Linked DNA regions of Drosophila melanogaster. The protein of the gene in region 1 interacts with the protein of each later gene in a pairwise test. Each region holds a gene or a part of one and is shown in the gene's direction. Other genes may lie near its edges.

Evidence for each region.
Region 2: the proteins of InR (region 1) and chico interact in binary tests that used the Drosophila melanogaster proteins (3 or more experiments, as listed by UniProt).
Region 3: the proteins of InR (region 1) and dock interact in a two-hybrid assay, tested with the Drosophila melanogaster proteins (2 studies listed by BioGRID).

What each region holds. Positions count from the first base shown.
Region 1 is NT_033777.3:21,617,338-21,621,094, reverse strand, and holds the start of InR (Insulin-like receptor), read left to right. Parts: upstream 1-1,773; 5' UTR 1,774-2,073; exon of another isoform or gene 2,074-2,368; intron 2,369-3,757. UniProt on the Drosophila melanogaster protein: Has a ligand-stimulated tyrosine-protein kinase activity. Binds 3 insulin-like peptide ligands.
Region 2 is NT_033779.5:10,245,326-10,249,082, reverse strand, and holds the start of chico (chico), read left to right. Parts: upstream 1-2,004; 5' UTR 2,005-2,183; intron 2,184-2,549; exon of another isoform or gene 2,550-2,898; intron 2,899-3,043; 5' UTR 3,044-3,061; coding exon 3,062-3,428; intron 3,429-3,492; coding exon 3,493-3,673; intron 3,674-3,731; coding exon 3,732-3,757. Other genes in the region: bsk (basket), read left to right, coding at 169-298, 361-558, 622-886, 948-1,231, 1,310-1,435. UniProt on the Drosophila melanogaster protein: Activates phosphatidylinositol 3-kinase when bound to the regulatory p85 subunit. May mediate the control of various cellular processes by insulin-like peptides.
Region 3 is NT_033779.5:823,860-827,616, forward strand, and holds the start of dock (dreadlocks), read left to right. Parts: upstream 1-2,109; 5' UTR 2,110-2,648; intron 2,649-3,757. Other genes in the region: CG3862 (uncharacterized protein), read right to left, coding at 574-1,938. UniProt on the Drosophila melanogaster protein: Adapter protein that links cell surface receptor tyrosine phosphorylation to downstream signaling pathways and effectors, many of which are involved in regulation of the actin cytoskeleton.

The sequences.
Region 1 (3,757 bases):
AAATGCGAATACTTCCCTCTTATCAAACAACTTTTTGGGCTAGAACTGTCTGTAAATTAGTAAAAATAATACCAACACACACACACACACACACACTTATATAATTTTAAATTATAAAACAAAATAGTTGTAAAGCCAATCAACATTAAACAATAAAAAGAAAATCAATTTCAAATTGTAAAATATATCGAAGACATTTCAAATTAATATGGAGCAGTAGTAGAAGAGGAAGAGAACACTCCTGGGCCCCCAACAAGATGGCTTTGGTTCCTGTTTTAGTGACGCATGCAACAGAATCCTCTTCTCTTCATTTGCTTGGATTTATCGATTGATTTTTAATTATAATATTATTAAAGCTATAACTATGTATCATAATTTGTTATTGTTATAAAATTTAAACTGTAAACACACACATGGGCCCAATAGCAGTTTATTCATAGAAGCCAAATCATCCCACAAAACAAACAACCAACCACTTAACAGAGTCAACTACAAGTACATAAATAATTATTTAAACTCTCTCCTAGTAGTTATATATTTAACTAAACGATAGATAAAAGCAACAAACAAATGCAAATCATACAATTGTAAAAAAAAATCAATAAATAAACGAAGGAGAACCGCAACAAGCCGAAACCACTGTATAATTGTACGTTTAATTTTTATAAGAGAAAACACACTTGTTAGGTACTTTTCTTTCTTTCCAAAAACAAACACATGAAAAAAAGAGAAAATAAATATTACAAAAACGAAGGAAACTTTAAAATAAACAAAATAAATTTTTAAAACCGAATGTCTACTGTTTCAATTAAACTGAATATTTAAGTTTTTCAAGCCGAATTTAAATAAGGTGAAGTTTGCCATGGTCACAAGAAGTGTTTTTTGCTAACTTCTTTTTTAACTAAGCAATTTTGAATCATCATTTGAATGTTTTTGGTAAATATTATTTTTTATATTAATTATTTTTAATAAAGTATAAAGACTGTACTGTTTTATGCATCTTTTCAAAGATTTTTTTAAACACCAAGTTGAATTTTAAATATGTGATCCATTCCTTGGATTTTGATCATTTTACCCATGAGTAGTTAGCAGACTTGTCTGCATGTTTTAAAACGCCCGCCAACTGGGAAAGCAGTGCATTTTAATGCGCCCGCCAACTCGGAAAGCAGTAAAACGTAGCACTGCTTGCAATTTACGATATTCAAGTATGGCGCACTATCTTTAAACTTGAAACTTGCGTTTCTAAAAGCCAAACCCCAAAAAGCAGATCCTAGCGAAATATTTAAAATTGGTTTAAATTGGTTTTACAGCAGCTCCTAGTATTTGTAGTTAGTTAGTATTTATCACCTAGGCGGGGAGTTCAAGGAAATGATTATGCTTGATTGCATGGAAAGTAGATGCTCTTGGACAATGATTACATAAAAATATTTCCTATGTCATTAAGAAATCGACACAATAATAGCGCCATTATTTTATTATATTTTCTAAATTTTTCGAAAAAAAAGTGATCCAGAATGTAATATTTGCTAATGACATTATGCTCATATAAAAGTTTTTACAAATGGAATATCCGTTTTTAGTGCGCGAGGATTCAGTATTGGGCTTCATGGCGTGTTGGTAAACGAAGAGCTCTGCTATAGGTGGCGCGCTAGTGTAACAGCCGGCACTAACAGAGTTCTGTAAGCGGTCAAAAGACAGAGTTCGAAAACGACCGAACAGAGTTGGAAAACGCGCTAAACCGAAAATCGCGTATACAACAAGGGTAACGGCTGGCAGTGTTTCACGCGATTTCGAAACGTTGAGATCGTTGCCGCGGTCGCCGTGAATTGGAATTGTGAGTGTGTTCGTCGTGCGGAAAATCATCGCTGTCAAATAGAGGCCACAGTGAATTGCCGATACCTAATACTGTGCAAGGCGAAATTATGTGCCCCAGCATTTCGTGAATGAAAAGTGCGAAAATACAAAATACAGAGCAATAGTGCGAGGTCGGTGGAGTTCGAATTAAAGAAATTCCACGAAATACAAGTGCGGGCGATTCTCGTGTGCTGGCGAGAGTGCGGCTTGTCCGGGTGTGTGAGTAAAATTCACGGTAAATAAATAAATAAAATTTGTGTACACACACATACACACACACACGCGCGCTCTCCTATTATTTATATATACACAGCATGTTGTGAAGTTGCGGCGCAAAAAGAAAGCACGCGAATAAAACATAAGAAAATTTAATTACGCCTGCGTCTGGGAAAGTGCGTCGTTCTATTTTGAAATCGATACCAAAATAAAATACAAATAGAAATAAAAATCAAAAATTAGGTGACACAACAACAACTAGATCAACAATGCACGACAACAAAACCGTTGCAAAGGGGTATGTAACAAAAACAACAAATAATAATAAAATGAATAATAGTAGTGAGAACGTAACTAGGAAAATACTCGTGAAATTACTACGCAGCAGCAATTTATGCCAAGTTGTTTTTGCTCTCCTCCTCCTCCTCTCTCCGCCCGGTTCCTCTTGTTCCTTTTGTTGTTGTTCCATATCTATCATATCTTGGGCTGTTGTTGTTCTTCTTCTTCGCACACCGCTTTACGTCTCCGTTTTGTGAATGAGCGGCGCAGCCAACATTGTTCTCTTTTTCTCTCTCTCTCTGTCTCTCTGTCGTGCGGAGAGCGGCTGCGCGAAGAGAGGCGGAAAAGAAATGAAAGAATTTCGATTGCTGCCGGTTTTTGTTTTATTATTGTTGTTGTTGTTGTGCTGGTTTATTTTTTATTGTTGCACGCATTTTGAAAAGTGGTACAGATAAGTTTTCCATTGCATTAAATTAAGCCAGCACTAAAAGAGTAACTAACATTATTATTAAAAATAGTATTTCATGAAATTACTTAGTACTATTGCTAAAGACTGTCTCCTTATTGTCCTTGGTAAGTTTTAAAATTAATCATACAAGCGTCAATAAGAGCTATTCAATAGAATTTTATTAAATATTTATAGAATTAGTATAAATTATTAAAAAAAACAAAACAATAAACTTCAAAGAAGTGTCTTAGTCGACTTCCATTAAACACCCATACATTTTTCCTTAAAAGGCGCTTTAATATGTATGTTGCTCTCACCCCCTCTTCAGGACCACCTGCAAAACTCAATTTTTTATTTAATATTTCAAAAATAAAATTGAACTCACCTGTTGACTTGTCATGATTTTCAAACCTTTATAATTCTAAAGTTATACTTTGGAAAATGTGTTGTTTTTTAATGTATGGTGGACACCACACTTTCAGCGGTTGTCAAAAAGTCATGACAGTGCTGTTTTTTATTTTATTTTGGAGCTCGTAATTAGAGTGACCAAAATGCTGAGTAAACCAGCCAAATATATCCAGTACAATTTTAAAGCTCTCACTTGCTAAAACAAATCCCAAAAAGTTGATCAAACTATTTGCTCAAACTGTGACCTTATAAATCGGGTTTCTTTTTATCTTTAAGGTATATGTATAAGATATCCATTAAATTTAGTTTAATGGAGACTTTGTAAAAACGTTTGGAGCTTCTACAATGTTTTCATTTTATAAACATTAATTATTTAATGCCAACTTAAGCAGGTTGAGACTTTAATGACTTAAGTTGACATTAAAAGTGGGATATCCCTTTAAAAGAACGAGATAAAGATACACCCACGATTTACGGGCTTTTGATTTTGTGTTGTATCCGCAACGGAAGCAGATCAATAGATCGGGGGTCTGTGGGTGTACTGAAATAGTG
Region 2 (3,757 bases), on another chromosome or scaffold:
CAATATGTTATTACATATAATACATTTAACAATTTTTTGGCTTAAACAATTAAGATATTTCGCATGAGTATGAAGTCATATTTGTAACGCTCCATTGTATATTAGATTAGATTAGATGGGATTAGCTGGAATATGAAAAAAAAAAATAACAAATTTAATGCATTTCAGCGCCGCTTACGATACTATCACCCAGCAAAATGTGGCGATTAAGAAACTATCTCGACCATTCCAAAATGTAACCCATGCCAAGCGAGCATATAGGGAATTCAAGCTAATGAAGCTTGTTAACCATAAAAACGTATGAAACTTGCACCTTTAACTTTAACAAATTTCTACTAAACATAGGTATTTAATCCGTAGATAATTGGCTTACTTAATGCTTTTACGCCGCAAAGGAACTTGGAAGAGTTTCAGGATGTCTACCTGGTCATGGAGCTGATGGACGCTAATCTCTGCCAGGTCATCCAAATGGACTTGGATCACGACAGAATGTCCTATTTGCTTTATCAAATGTTGTGCGGAATAAAACATTTACACTCAGCAGGAATTATTCACAGAGTACGTACAGTATGAATACATCTTTAAAATGAGTATGAAATATATGAAATACTTCATTTGCAGGACTTAAAGCCATCCAATATAGTTGTAAAGGCCGACTGCACTCTAAAAATTTTGGATTTCGGTCTGGCACGTACTGCAGGAACTACCTTTATGATGACTCCCTATGTGGTCACCCGATATTACAGGGCTCCAGAGGTCATTTTGGGCATGGGATACACAGAGAACGTGGACATATGGTCCGTCGGTTGCATTATGGGCGAAATGATACGGGGCGGTGTGCTGTTTCCTGGAACGGATCATATAGATCAGTGGAATAAAATTATTGGTATGTTGCTGCTTAAATAACTTGATTCTCGTTATGATTGTCAACTTTTACGTTTTTTCAGAGCAATTAGGTACACCATCACCCTCGTTTATGCAACGGTTACAGCCAACCGTCCGAAACTATGTGGAAAATCGTCCTAGATACACTGGATACTCATTTGATAGACTTTTCCCCGATGGCTTGTTTCCAAATGATAATAATCAGAATAGCCGCCGGAAGGCTTCTGACGCTAGAAATCTTCTTAGTAAAATGCTAGTCATTGATCCAGAGCAGCGGATATCTGTGGACGAGGCTTTGAAGCATGAATATATCAACGTGTGGTATGATGCTGAGGAAGTGGATGCTGTAAGTGATTCTGGCATAAACTGGATTTCTAGGAATGTTGAATGTTTTTAATCGCTTAATTGCATGCATCTCTTGCAGCCCGCTCCGGAGCCATATGATCACAGCGTGGACGAAAGGGAACACACTGTGGAGCAGTGGAAGGAGCTAATCTATGAGGAAGTCATGGACTACGAAGCACACAATACAAATAATAGAACGCGGTAGAGAACGACTTTTTCCTCCTTAGTCAGTCACAAGAAAACTAAAGCTTACCAACAATACGGCGTGTATTGTTAAATTATTACAACAAATAAAATATTCAAATTGTATTTAAAAATATAGTAACCATTAAAAAATAAAATCAATATGCGAAACTTTGTAATTTCTTACTCATCCTTGTTTTTTGAGCCCGCTTTCTTAAGTTAAATCGTTAAAATACCAGTTTAATCATTTCATTGTCCTGATTTCAGGAGCTAATTACATTTTAATCTTTGTATAAATTCATAAAATTTAAATGGAAAAGTTTAACCATATAAATTATTTCGGTATATAAAGTCGATACATACTTTTAAAATTTTGTTTCATACAAGAATATGGAAAGTAGATAATTTAGTTACCGATAAAAACATTTCTAAAATACAAAAAATTTAAAATGATGATTAAATAAAAAACTGTTATACTAAATTTAAACGAAACAAACGGTCATTCGATAACTCAATTAGTATCGAATAAGCCGGCGTGTAAATCGGGCTGGCAACTCTCACCGGTGTAGAGATCGGGATGGCAACTTCGTACTGTTATTCCTATGCTGCGATAACGATAACAGCAAAGTGTCATCGCGAATAAATGTGGGTTTGATAATAAAGAATTGCGTTGGTGAACAATAATAATACAAATGCTAAATGTATCGCGCGGATAACTAGTAAACACTGATTTCGCGCATATCGGGCATACGGGCAGCTAGACGTCTTAGGTAACACATTTCCCAGCCACATTGGCGTTGAGGTATTATTTCCCATATCCATGTGCGTTTGTAAATGATACCACCAGAGTGTGCCATATGTATCGTTGTTTGTACATACATGCCTACGGGGAAAAATAACTCGCAGATACATATGTATGTAAGATGTATTAGAATTCCACAGATATATGTACATATAAATATATATATATATTTATGATGCTCATCTATAAAACAAAATATGTACAAACATACGCGCGCACGTACTTATGTATGTACATATGTACGTACATATATGTATAATAAAATGAGCATCTAGCTGCGGTTATCTTAATGCAATGCGCAGAAACCTGAAAACGAAATAAACAATCTTTACAGCGCCAGCACAGTGAGCCAATTATGAATTCACAATTCCACATCCAATTCCGATTCCGAATTCCATCGCTTTACATCCTAATTCGAATACGTCGCGCCGCGTAAGCTGCACTCGAATATTGACATAAACGACGTAATTGCGTGTTTTGATTGCGATTTCCGATGCTCGATGTTGACAGACGGCAAGGATTTTTTTTGCCAGCCGACATTGCGAATGCTTTTCGCGTGTTTGCGTTGTGAAAAGCGATTTGTTGTTCCGGCAGTTGGAAATGTTTTGTGCTGTTTATGCTTAGAAAAGCAAATGTATTGCACAAAACTCGTGTTTCCTACATTAGTAAAGCCTATAACTTAGGTATATGTTTCTAAATTACAATGCAAAAAATAAAAAACATTATACATGTGTTCGTTCTTTAATTTGAAAACAGAAAAGTGAAAGCCTTGCAAATCAAATATGTGTCCATATCGCCTACTAATAATATAAACACGTCGCCTTCCAGGAACTAAGATTGGAAATCATGGCATCAATATCGGATGACGGCATGGCGCTGAGTGGCTACCTCAAGAAGCTGAAGACCATGAAGAAGAAGTTCTTTGTGCTGTACGAGGAGACGAGCACTTCGGCAGCCCGGCTGGAGTACTACGATACCGAAAAGAAGTTCCTGCAAAGAGCCGAGCCAAAAAGGGTTATATATCTGAAGAATTGCTTCAACATCAATCGCCGTTTGGACACCAAGCATAGATTTGTCATTGTGCTCTCCTCCAGAGACGGTGGATTCGGCATCGTTCTCGAGAACGAAAATGATTTACGCAAATGGTTGGACAAACTACTAGTTCTACAAAGGAACATAGCCAATTCGAATGGAACAGCGCACTCACCTTATGGTATGCCAAATAAACTATAACTACCAGTTAGTATGAAACCTAAACACTTCATTTCACTTTGCAGACCACGTTTGGCAAGTTGTCATTCAAAAGAAGGGTATTTCGGAGAAAGTTGGAATCACCGGAACCTACCACTGTTGCCTTACTTCAAAATCCCTGACATTCGTGTGCATTGGACCGGAGAAGACGCCCAATGGCGAGGATCGCGTTGCGAGCATTGAAATACTTTTGACCACGATCAGGCGGTTAGTTGTTGCCAGCAAAACTGCAAGGGATTGTAAAATAATTCGGACTTAATTTCAGATGCGGTCATGCATCCCCACAATGTA
Region 3 (3,757 bases), on another chromosome or scaffold:
TATACATACACAGAGCCATGCCTACAAGTCTAGATCTGGTTACCACTGGTTAGCAGGACACACACCCACTCCGGGTGGATATATCATCATTGGCCAAGCGAGTTTAGCAAATTATAGACCCTAGTAAGGAAGCGTAACGAAAATGTACCTAGAACGCAATCAAAAGCGATCGACGAAATTGTGACAAATACGTGAAATGTATTAGCCTCGAGGGCGGATTGAAAGGATACGGAGAGATTGGATCGGTACACGCGCACAGACACACTGCGGCATTCCAAGTACATATTTTATATATATGCTCTTAAACTCTATTCTAACAATTAATGTATAGAACGGATTCAGAACGAAGCTATTTACAGCAAAAACAACCTGAGGGCGGAAAACATGGCAACTATCAGCATGCGTAAGAGAAACAAGTAAATTAATCTAAATGTTCTTTAAACTACTTACATGTATTAAACGCGAATTTGTGATCTTTAGCAGTGTGATCTTTATTGGTTGGGCTGCCACTGGCAATAGTATTTTCGACTAGAGTATACTTTAAGTTAACTAATCTAAAACAAACAGCTTAATCTAGAAGAACGGCTTGCACAAGGCAATGGTGTGATCCACTCCGTAGGCCACTTTGGTGACCTTTCCGTTGATGGCCGCCTTAAAGGGAAAGAACTGGTCCTTCTTGTGTCCCAGCCCCAGATGCCCGAACCTGTTCTTGCCCCACATGAAGAGATCTCCGTCCGAGTTGACGGCGCCCATGTGAAACACTCCGCATCCGATGGAAACCACTGTGGTTTCGTTGCTGAAGTCATTTCGTCCGAATAAAGGCGGCAACAGATGCTGCGGCTTGGATGTTTGCTCCACGAAGGGTCCGAAGCCGAGGATGCCAAAGCCCCAGGTGTACACCAGACCCTGGTCGTTGAGGGCCATGCAAAATGAGCCTCCCGCAGCCACATCCTTGATTTTCCCGATGGACTTCGTTAGTTTGAGAGCTCTAGGGATATTTATTTGGGTTTCGGCCAGCTCTGAGTCATCTAGCTGTCCGTACTCAGAATTGCCCCAGCCAAAGGCATCGCCCGCCTCGTTAAGGGCCAAAACGCAGTCCGAGGAGCAGCTGAGCCGCACAATCTTCTCCTTTTCCACATCTCCTCCAATCAGGGTTATCTGCCCGGCGGTGTGGTAGTTTCCCTGACCTGTTTGACCATCCGCACCCCAGCCACATGTGTAAATGCGTCCCTTTTTGGTAAGAAACATGCTGTGGTCCTGGCCGCACTCCACCTGGACCACCTCATCCTCCTTGCCGCATATATCTTCCTGCGATATCCTGTGGATCAGGGCACTCTTGCTGTACCGCTCCTCCTCTATGATGGAGCGGCCACATTGGCCGTACGAATTGTTTCCCAGGGTGAAAATGGTTCCGTTTTGGGTCAGAACCACCAGGTGAGCTCTACCCGCCGACATGCTCTTCACACGCATGTCCTCGTCTGTTTCTCCCTGAACTCTCGGCAGTTTAATGGCTGTAGGATAAATGATCACGTCAAGGTTGGCCGGATCATTGGGATTTCCCTTCACCTGGAAACCCAGTTGGGAGTCGGTGTTCAAACCGCTGCCAAAGAGCGTCTCTCCGTCATCTCTATTCACGGCGTAGACCGTGAACCCGTAGCCGGCGGCCACATCCGTGATTTCGTTGTTGTTGGAGAACTGCAAGCGGGTGGGATGGTGCACCATCTCCGTGTAGCGTTCCTTGGCCTTCTTCACGTTGGTCTGGAGACCGAGAGCGCCGGTTTCCTGAAAGCCCCACACGTAAACTCGGTGCTCATGGCTGTCCGTCGTCTTCGGTGAGTACTCCTTGATCTTCGACTTGTCCTGCGCCAGCACACCCCTCTTCGCCTTGGCGGTGTACGACCTGCTGATGCCAAGCACAATACCCCGAGTTTTCAGCATGGTATTTCGGGTTAAACCAACCATGTAATCCAAAATCATAACAAAAACGCCACCCGATATCGATAGACCCGATGACCGGACAAGTGCTGCACAGCGCGCAACGTGCTTATCGATAGTTCGCTAAGAAAAACCGCTGATACGCCACCTGACAGCCCTGGTCGTGGTCAATCGCTATCGCCTTCCGCACATCGAAATCGGATGGGCGACGTGAAAGAAACGGCTCCGGCAAAATCATTAAAATTTAATTAGTTAACCGCAAGAGAGCGCTGCAAAATTGTGCAAACAATTTGCCACTTAACGCAGTTAACGTGTGCGGTAATCAGAAGCGTGGAAAAGCGTTTATTTGTCAGGATTTGTGTGTTTTTCAATCGCGGCAGCAGCATATGTACACACACACAGGCTCACCCCCGCCCCACTCACACACACACACTCACGCCTAGGTGTATTATAATTAAAGTTGTGTTTTAAGTGTGTGTAAAGTGCAATAGCCCAGTGGAAAGTGGAAGTGATATAGAGTGCGTTCCAGGAGTTCCAGGAGCAGTGTCTTATCCCATGTCTTCCACTCCCAAATCCTGAGGATTGCCAAGGGTTAAGACCGAGAAATACGGACTCCGACTTTCCGGATAAGGATACGGATACGGATAAGGAGTGCCAGGATAAGGAGATCCAGGAGGAATATAGGAGTTGCCAGTCCAACCGCTTCGTCTCCGGTAGGTACACACAAAATATTCGGCTGCTCCTTTTTAGCTCCTGTTCGAATCTCTCACGGCTCTCTCTCTCGGCTCTCTCTCTCTCTCTCTTGACCTGCGCTCTCTCTCTTTATCTCGCCCTCGTCACCTGGTGGTGCGTAGTCCTTTGGCTCGGTCCACCACCCGCCCAGTGGGCGGTGCTGCAACCCTTAGCCCTCCGCTTTCCATCACCTTTTTTTGGGTAACCATGGTCGTGTTTACGGCAAACTGTGCCACCGATATATATGTGTGTACATATGTACCCTTTCCCTTGTCTAGATAGATGAAACAGATAAATCGTGAAGATGCTTCACTTACCATAAATCTATAATATGTTCATTGCTCAAATACTACTATAGTAGGTACTTGTGTTTTTCAAAAGCCTGTGCCAGGTACAAAAGCTTGTACTCTTAACAACACTGGGAACGAGTCCTGCCATCCTTTGCAGGACGAGAAGTCCACCCTCTCGCTGCCAAAAAGCCACCACCTCGCAGAGATTTTGCGCAGCATCTCTAAACGAAACGGCCGGCAAATGTCGCAAACTCCCTCGGCAACAAAAGCCAAAAAAAAAATACAAAATACAAAAAACAAAACCGAAACCGAAACCCCATTCGAATCCCATTCCCCAGCAAAAGCATCTACTTAATCAACCCGGGCGGGAGTGGACTCCCAGCTCCCTGAATGAGTGATCTTATGTAAACAGGCTGCCCTTTGCCTCCCACGCCCCGAGATCCAGATAAGAGTGCCCCACTTTCAGTTCCTCCATGGCTGCCCCATCCATCCACCGAAGTCGTAACTCAATGTTATAGACCCAAATGCTCCCGTTTCGGGGCCACCAATTCGTTCGTGATGGCTTTTCTTGGGGACCAATGACTATACTCCCTCGTCTGGAACCGATCTTCAACCAATACACAGACACAGCACGGGGAAACAAACTTTCCGCCTCATAAACTTGTGGGCTTGTCCCCCAAGCACGTGCAACTCTTTCTTTCTCTCAGCGAAAAGACGAACTGCTGTCAGGAAAACAATGAACGAGTGCACCGGAAAAAAACATAAATGTTTGTCATACGGGAAGCTAAGAAATCATACCA